Macaca mulatta: one gene and its partner. The protein of the gene in region 2 interacts with the protein of the main gene of each other region in a pairwise test. Links are inferred from orthologs where the notes say so. Each region holds a gene or a part of one and is shown on either strand. Other genes may lie near its edges. The genes, in order: MEAF6 and PLEKHF2.

Region 1 (4,252 bases), on a different chromosome or scaffold from region 2:
AGGAGATAATTATTGACACATTTAAGTGCAAAGTGTCAGTATATCTGCATCTAACTTTCAAACAGTTAAGTAGGAAAAAAAGGTAGGGGGACAGGGAGATATAACTACAAAGGAGTGGCATGAGGAAGATCTTTGTGGTAATGGAATAGTTCCTGAAGTAACTTGATTGTGGTCACATGAATCTACACACAAGATAAAGTGACATAGAACTATATATATACATTGTACCAACGTCAATTTCCTGGCTTTGATACTGTATTAGAGTTATATAAAACACACCTATTGGCCGGGCGCGGTGGCTCAAGCCTGTAATCCCAGCACTTTGGGAGGCCGAGGCGGGCGGATCACAAGGTCAGGAGATCGAGACCACAGTGAAACCCCGTCTCTACTAAAAATACAAAAAATTAGCCAGGCGCGGTGGCGGGTGCCTGTAGTCCCAGCTACTCAGGAGGCTGAGGCAGGAGAATGGCGGGAACCCGGGAGGCGGAGCTTGCAGTGAGCCGAGATCGCGCCACTGCACTCCAGCCTGGGAAACAGCGTGAGACTCCGTCTCAAAAAAAAAAAAAAAAAAAAAAAAAAAAAACACCTATTGGGGAAAACTAGATGAAGACTACAAAAGACCATTCTGCCAACTCCCTATGAATCTATAATTATTTCACAATTTAAAAACGTGAAATGTAAATATAGGTGTGTGCTTATATTAATATTATAGAGAGTAAGAGAAAGCAAATGTCACAACACATTAACAATCTGAATACAGGTAGGACAGTATCAAGTGTTCATATACTATTCTTCCCATTTTTCTATAACTTGAAGATAATCCAAAAGTTTAGAAATTTTTTAAAAATATTACTAAGCAAGCAGTGGTACAGCTGGCACACAGGTATGGCAAAAATTGTGAGGGTCAGTTGGGCGTGGTGGCTCACCCCTTTAATTCCAACACTTTGAGAACCTGAGGCAGGAGGACTGCTTGAAACCAGGAGTTCCAGGCCTGCCTGGGCAACAAAGTGAGACCCCACTTCTACAAAAAAAAAAAATGTTTTTAATTAGTCAGGTGCAGTATTGTGTGCCTGTAGTCCCAGCTAATTGAGAGGCTGAGGTGGGAGGATCATTTCAGCCCGGGAGTTTGAGGCTGCAGTGAGCTAAGATTGTGCTACTGCACTCCAGCCTGGACAACAGCATGAGACCCTGTCTCTTAGAAAAAAGAAAAGTGGCCAGGCATGGTGGCTCACACCTATAATCCCAGCACTTTGGGAGGCCAAGGCAGCAGATCACCTGAGGTCAGGAGTTCAAGACCAGCTGGGCCAACATGGAGAAACCTCGTCTCTACTAAAAATAAAAAAATTAGCCAGCCATGGTGGCATGCGCCTGTAATCCCAGCTACTCAGGAGGAAAAAGAAAAAAAGAAAAGAAAAATACTGTGAGGGTAGAACTCACGACTGATTAAAATGTGTAAAAAATTTAATAGAGTGATGTTGTATAAAGATATTGTTATATGCTGTATTTAAGCCTCACACAACCCTGTGCCAAAGGCCCAACTTTTGCTATTTTACAGATGTGAGCTTTGTCTAAGATTATTCAGTGAGGCAGTGCCTGAGCCAGAGTCCAAGAGTTCAAGTCCAGACCACACCACCACTTTACTACTGCCTCTAGCAAACTTGCTACTAAGAGCCTACAGTCCTACAAACACACACAATAGGAACACAATAGGAACACTACAGGCTTTCGACACTCACTTTTGGTTGGTCAGATACCGATCCCAGCCACGAATAATATTGCCATACATCTGAGTGTCTTCCAGGTAGCTTCCCTCAAAAGCATAGATCTGTCGCTCCAAGTTTGCCAGTGTTTCCTGAGAGATGAAAAACAAGGACATGAATAATGCCTTTTAAATGCAAACACTTAAGTCTGACCAAAATGAAATCCTGATATTAGATTTGTAAACGCAAGCTTGTCCACACTAAATCACCCTGTGGAGAGATGGATGATATGGGGAGGAGCAGCCGTTTAGGACTAAGACAGTCTAGACCTTTGGGTGTGATGGACCTCTGAATGTATAAAGCATGTCCCCAGAAAAATACACACACACGCGAAATTTTGCATATACTTTAGAGGATTCACGGAAACCAGGAGTCAAGAACCCAGGCTAACGCAGAACTTGTGCGATATCCACTCCCACGCACAAAAGGTATCGCTACCAGGAGAGGGAAGGGTGAGCAGCCTTTCAGCGTCAACTCGCTCCCCTCCCCGCAGGCTCAGAGAGGCCGCCGGCACCGGGCTGCCAGTTGCTATGGAAACCTGGAAGGGCAGCTTCAGGTGAGAGGGGCCTCCGGGGTGCCCAAGCCGAGACGTGAGGGCAGGAAGAGCTTAGCCACCAGGGTGCATTGGGCCTTGGGTGCCTGTCACAATTCCGAATTCTCCAGAATGTGTTCTTCTCCCTCGCCTGTCACCTTCTAGATATTCCCAAACACATCACAACCCTGTCTATCAAAAGCCTCCATTCAACGGATCTACTACTAGTACCAAAAAGAACACGCTCCCCACCATCCTCCAAAGTCCAGACAGGGTGACTCGGTCCCCCTCCCACACTAGCCTCCTACCCCACCCCCACCCCGCAAAGATCACGGACTCGCCCGCCTCGCCCTTCCTAGCGCCCTCTCCCCGAGTCCCGAGCCCCGGCACCGTCCTCCCTCCACGCCCCCTCCTGCGGCTGCCGCTGCCCCTCCCCCTCCCGCGCTCCCAGCTCCCTCCCGGCTCCGGATTCGCACAGCCGGGAAGCTGAACCGCCGGCGGGCCGCAGAATGCGCACCCGGCCTCAGGCCGCCGAGCACACAGCCCGCCGCGCCGCGCCCCCGGAGTAACGAACGGCCTGGCGCAGCCGGGCTTGGGGCCTGGAGGCGGGGCGGGCGCGGAGCCCCATGCCGGGCAACCCCGGTCCTAGCCCCTCACCGCCAACTCCTGCTTCCGCTTCACGAGCTCCGCCAGCTCCCGCCGGGTGTCCGGGATCTGCGGCGGCGCCGCCTTGTTGTGCATCGCCATGTTGGGCTGAGGCGGGCGGCGGCGGCGCGAGGTTGGGGGCGGTCCCTGCGCCGCCAGGGGGCGCCCCCCGCACTGCGCCTGCGCGCGCGGCTTCCGGAGACGCGTGCAGCGCCGCGCAGAGGTGCTCTGCGGCCGGGACTCTGGACGATCCTTCTCGGAGAGGTCCAGAGAGTCGGCTTCTGCTCTGCCCTTTACGCCGTTTCCTGCCCCTCGGCTGGCCGCGGGCTTTACAGACGCCACAAATCTACCGTGTCCAAAGCCTAGCTCGTCCTCAGGCCTCCGAGTCTCCTGTGCGTCCCGCCTCAGTCCACTTCAGTGAATGACTTTCACTATCCACCGCAATTGCCTGCGTCAGAAACCCGGTTTTCCTCACTCTGCACCCGGAGTAAAACGCGATACCAGGTCAAGCCCTGTGGATTCGACTCCGGAAGAGCTCGCGAATCCATTTGCTTGTGCCTGCGCCTTTTGCCACCTTCTTAGTTCATTCAGGCCCTCCCTGTTTGGGGCTACGTTATTCCAACAGCTTCTTTATTTCCACCTTTAGCCCCATTTAATCCACTATCCACAGTGGTGCCGGAATCTTCCAGAAACAAATGTTATCACTCCCCTGTTTAAAGCCTTTCAGTGGCTTCCCATTTTCCCATTGCCCTTTGGAGAAACAAGTATGTGTAGTGGTTAAGGGCACAAAACTGGAGCGAGAACTACCTTGTTCAAAATCCTATCGCTACATCGATAAAGTGTGCCCCTTTGGGTAAATAACCAAATCTCAACTCCCTCATCTGTAAAATGAAAGCAGTGATAGAATCTACTTAATACAGTTGCTGTGAGGAGTAAATCAGCTAATGTGTGTAAGGGGTTTGGCAGGTGCCAATGACTCTGCAAGTACGAATTCGCTTTTATCGTTAAGTCCAAGGTGTAGACGTTGTTTTCACTTGGCCCCTGTTGATTTCTCCCTCCTCAGCTCTCCATCTTTCACTCTTCTGCAATTTCGCTATCATAAGTCTAAGTGGGATATTTTTTCTTTTTGTTTTGTTTCTTGCTTGGAAGTCTTTGGATTTCTATAATCTGTGGGTTGGTATCTTCCACCAGTTTTGGGAAATCGCAGTCATTTTTCTTCAGATGCCTGTCTCATATTCTCTCTCTTTCTGGAACTCGAACATAAGAAACCTTTATTTTTAACCTACCGTCTATATTTTCTATCTTTTTGTCCCTC
Region 2 (4,386 bases):
AAGTACATGAGAAGTGAGGGGGGCAAACATTTTTACTAATGAGAGTGAGTGACCAAAAATATTTGATAACTAATGCTCTAGGCTTGACCTTAGACAACCAGACATAGCAATTCCTACTTTCCAAATTTAAAAGGACTCTAGGCATTATTTAGTCCTGCCTTTTCCCCACTGATAGATATTCTGTGCATGTAGAGGTGAATGAGGTAGAATGATGGTACAGACAAGCGACTGGCCCTGGCGACTTCCGTACTCATCTAGAGACAACTCTAACACACGAAAGATTGTGTGTGTGTGATCATACAACTTTCCCCATTTAAAAAAAGTTCATCTTTGCCAATTTTGTTCTAATTATTAATTAAAGAAAAAAAAGACTTGTTTCAGAGACAAACTCTATTGAAATAGAGGAGGATGGGAGGCAGCAAGCCTGGAGGAGGAGGATCCCAGGTGGAACAGCAGGGCGGAACCCAAGTCTGCTCTCTTCCCTAGGTGCTCATCCACGTGCAGCTTGGCTGGTAGTGACTCTAATTCAACAGCAATCAAACGCAGGTTAAAACAACTTACTGAAATAATAGATGAATAAGAAATATAAAATTTACCAAAACTCAATTTTCTCCTACACACCACACACACTTTGTTTAAAATAAGTATGCTGTTCTCCCCACCTCGCCCCCATCCCTGGTCTACCCTAAGCAACTTCTTTACCTCTCCACGCACCCACCAGAGCAATTAGCTATCAGATTAATTAGGGCACATTTAACCTTATATACTATGCTATAATTACAGTTTCTAGGTATGTGAAGTAGGCTGATGGGGTTTTGTGTCGTCAAAGTTTTGGAAAGACCAGAATTCTAAAGTATGCATTTAAAAGAAAGGGCTGGCTGGAGCACGTGGGGTATGTGTGTGTCGCCGCAGTTCCCTAGGTTTCAAGAGGAGGGATTTTAGGTAAAGCAAAGGGAAAGTGTGACGGGAAGGATTACTGTGCTAAATGGGAGCAGCAAATGCCAGTACCGACGCCTTTGGGCATCTAAATCCAAAGCCTGCCTTTCTTGTTCTTCAGTTCCCTGGGGAGGCCTGCTGTGGGTGGGGAGGTGTCTTCCTTCTATTCTTCCAGTCTCCCTAAGAACTTGGTAGACAGTTGAGCAATACTTTCTAAGGGCTGGTCGGAGTCAGGAAAGTCAGGTAAGGCGCCCCACGTGCACCTCAACGCGTCGCGGGAGCGCGTCCAGACATCACACATGCACAAGCTCCGCCCGCGGCAGGCCTGGGTGGGTGTGGCCTCCGCCAAAGGCCCCGCCCCTAGAGCGCGTCGCGCGAGGGGCGGGGCGAGGGAACTGGCAAGAAAGGGCGGGGAGCGAGCGGTGTGGGTGTGCTCGTGACCGCGCGCTCGCGCCCGGAGTGTGGGCGGGGGCGCGCCCGTGCGCGCGCAGGGGAGAGGCCAGCCCAGGCAGCCGTTGTCGGGTTCGACTGGAGGGGCGGGGGAGTCACCTGCGAGCGGCTGCGCTGGCGTCCCGCCCGCCCAGCGCGTCTGGATCGCGCCGGCTGAGCGGGGCTGCGGACCGCACACACCCTGGGAGGCCCGGGCGGGGAACGGGCAGAGTCCGCGCCCTGCGTCCGCGACCAGGAGAATCGGACCTTCGCCTTCGCTGCCGCCGCCGCCCGCGGCCGTCGGGGTAGGTGAAGCCCGAGTGGGTGGTCCGCCGGCTCCTGGCTGGCCGGGAGAGGAGACGTGAAACTTTCCGGGCGCTTCCTCCCGCGGTCCCGGAGCCGTCGCGGCGCTGGGAGGTGTCGTCGTCGCGGGCGGTGGCGGCCGACGCCATGTTGGGGTCTGTGAGAAACGGGGCGCTCCCAGCCGCTCCCCTCTCGCCGGGGCCGGCCCGCAGGCCAGTCGCCGCCGCCGTCCCGCCAGCCCGGGAGCAACCCGCGCCCGCCCGCAGGACGCCGCCGCCGCCGCGGGGAAACGGGGGCCGCCGGGGAGGGTCCGGTCCACGGGTCTGCGGGGCGGGGGCCGGCGGACGCGGGAAGAAGCCCCGAGGCCGGGCGAGAAGTTTTGGCGCCTGGGGACGGGGGTCCCGGACACGGCCGGGGGCGTCTCAGGGTCGCAACAAATTTCTGTCCGAAAAGTTTGCAGGGTCTGCATGTTGGGGACATTGTGACCTGAACTACATATTTGTATGTCAATTGGGAGAAAAAAATGGCCCCGCAGAACTTGCTGTGATAGAAGCGATGGTTTATTTGGAGCCTTTTAAAGTTTTATGATCCTTTGCCGAATTTATTTTTCTTTTTAAAAACGTGATTGAAGGCCGAGAGCGCGCTGCTGGTGTTGCTTGAATAGCCTTGTGTGCTCTCCGTACATTCCAGCAATAACTTGAGTGTGCGGTGGAAGTGGGTATGAAGGTTACAGACACCTAAGCCCTCCTCGGTAATTCATAGACTCACAAAACACGTTGTTGATAAATGCCTTCTTTGTCGTGTTGTGTAGTACGTTGCTGAAGAGACTCATTAAAGAAAAATTTAGACACTAACTTTGAGAGTCTTAAAGGCATGTGTTCTTTTAAGAATAAGGAGAAGTGATCCTGACAGTTTGAAGTTTTTTTCCCCTCCCTTTAGTTTCTTAAGGGTGAATGCCTACCGTGTTTTGAGCATTTACCTTTTTTTAATACTCTGGTAGCTCGTGGGGTCTTCACGTTAATTCAGTATTAACGAAGGCTTCATTATAATCTCTTTGGGTCCCGACCGCACAGGGGGTGAATGGTATTAAGCTATTTATTTGGAAAGCACACGTAATTGGCCTCTAAATAAAAGTAGTGTAGTGACTAAGCATCAAAAGAAAAGATTCAGCTTCAGTAACTGAATCTAAATGATTTTTAAATGAAGACATCTTGCTTTAAAATTCTGTTAAATGAACTGAAAAGCCTCTTAAATACAGTAAGCCCTAAAACCCCAAGTTCTTGGAGAATTTTACTTTTTAGATCTAAAAATACAGCTTCTGCTCATATTTGATTGTCAATTTCTTTTTCCTTTTTTCTTCCTTCCTTTTCCTTTTCCTAGACAGGGTCTCTCTGTCGCCCAGGCTGGAGTGCAGTGGTGTCATCTCGGCTCACTGCAGCCTCCACCTCCGGGGCTCAGGTGATCCACCTCGGCCTCCTGAGTAGTTAGGAATACAGGCGCGCATCACCACACCTGGCTAATTTTTGTTTGAATTTTGTGGAGACAGGGTTTTGCCATGTTGCTCAGGCTCTATTGCCAGTTTCTGTTGTTCTTAAGAATTCTTTTAGCTTTGCTTCATTGTCAAGTAAATGCCATTATAATATTTATTTTTTATTTAGAAATGAAATAAACTAATTTCACAAATGTAGCAGCCAAGCTGGTATTTAACTGGGATCTTATGACTCTGAAACCTTTTCATTTTTCCTATAGCATAACTTTGTAGGATACATAACTCAGTTTTCTGGAGCAATCTGTCGATCTCGTTTGCTCTTATCACTGCTCTGACTTGAATTTGGTTCTTCAGTATACTTATTTCCCAGCGAGCTGATTTACAGGTGATCCTTGTGATGAAATTTTTCCTTAAAAATACTTAAGCCTATACTCTTTGAAGCCTTTTCTGCTCTGTTCTCTCATTCCACTCCCTTTCTCTCCCCAGAAATCAATTAATTTCTCCCATGGTATTACTGTAAATATCGCATAGATCTGTCATGACATCTCCGTGACAGCAGGCAACACATCGGGGCTGATTTGCCTCTTCATTCCCTGTATGCCAAGAACATAGCAGATGCTCAGGAAAGGTTTGAATGGATGAGTACACATATGTTTGTTCCTTGTAAATATGCTTCATGAATTTCTTATGAAATTGTAAATTCCATGAGCATCATAGTTAAATCTTCTTTGTAGCCTTTTTCCCAGTACATGCCATCAACTCCATTAAATCCACAAATTGGTTTATTTTATATATATATATCTACACACACACACGCACATATATATATATATATATATATATATATATATATATATATATATATGTTTTGTTGTTGTTTTGTTGATAATTTACCTCAGTAACTGAGTGAATTTTGACCTGGGAGTACAGAACTTGAATATTTATGAAATTTCTAAGTAGATAATGGAGTAAAGTATAATTACTGATGTATGAGAGAGAAACCATGGGTCATCAAAAGGATTATAATCATAATTTTAAGTGTGATTGAATGTATTTGAACTTGATGGAAATACTGTTAATGCTTGAAAATTTTAAAGGTCATATTTGTACATTTAAGCTCTTGGAACAAATCCCATATAGCTCTATCAAGTATTGTTTTGCCGGAATTGTCTTAGAAGTTTTAGAATGCTCTGCTTAATAGAAAGTATATGAAATTTTTTTTTCTGTTA

What was found.
Region 1: the proteins of PLEKHF2 (region 2) and MEAF6 interact in binary tests that used the Homo sapiens proteins (3 or more experiments, as listed by UniProt). The two-hybrid records come from large-scale screens. The link is inferred for Macaca mulatta from reciprocal best matches to the Homo sapiens genes PLEKHF2 and MEAF6.

What each region holds. Positions count from the first base shown.
Region 1 is NC_133406.1:203,284,342-203,288,593, reverse strand, and holds the start of MEAF6 (chromatin modification-related protein MEAF6), read right to left. Parts: upstream 3,061-4,252; 5' UTR 3,040-3,060; coding exon 2,950-3,039; intron 1,853-2,949; coding exon 1,737-1,852; intron 1-1,736.
Region 2 is NC_133413.1:105,528,014-105,532,399, forward strand, and holds the start of PLEKHF2 (pleckstrin homology domain-containing family F member 2), read left to right. Parts: upstream 1-1,449; 5' UTR 1,450-1,670; intron 1,671-4,386. UniProt on the Homo sapiens protein: May play a role in early endosome fusion upstream of RAB5, hence regulating receptor trafficking and fluid-phase transport. Enhances cellular sensitivity to TNF-induced apoptosis.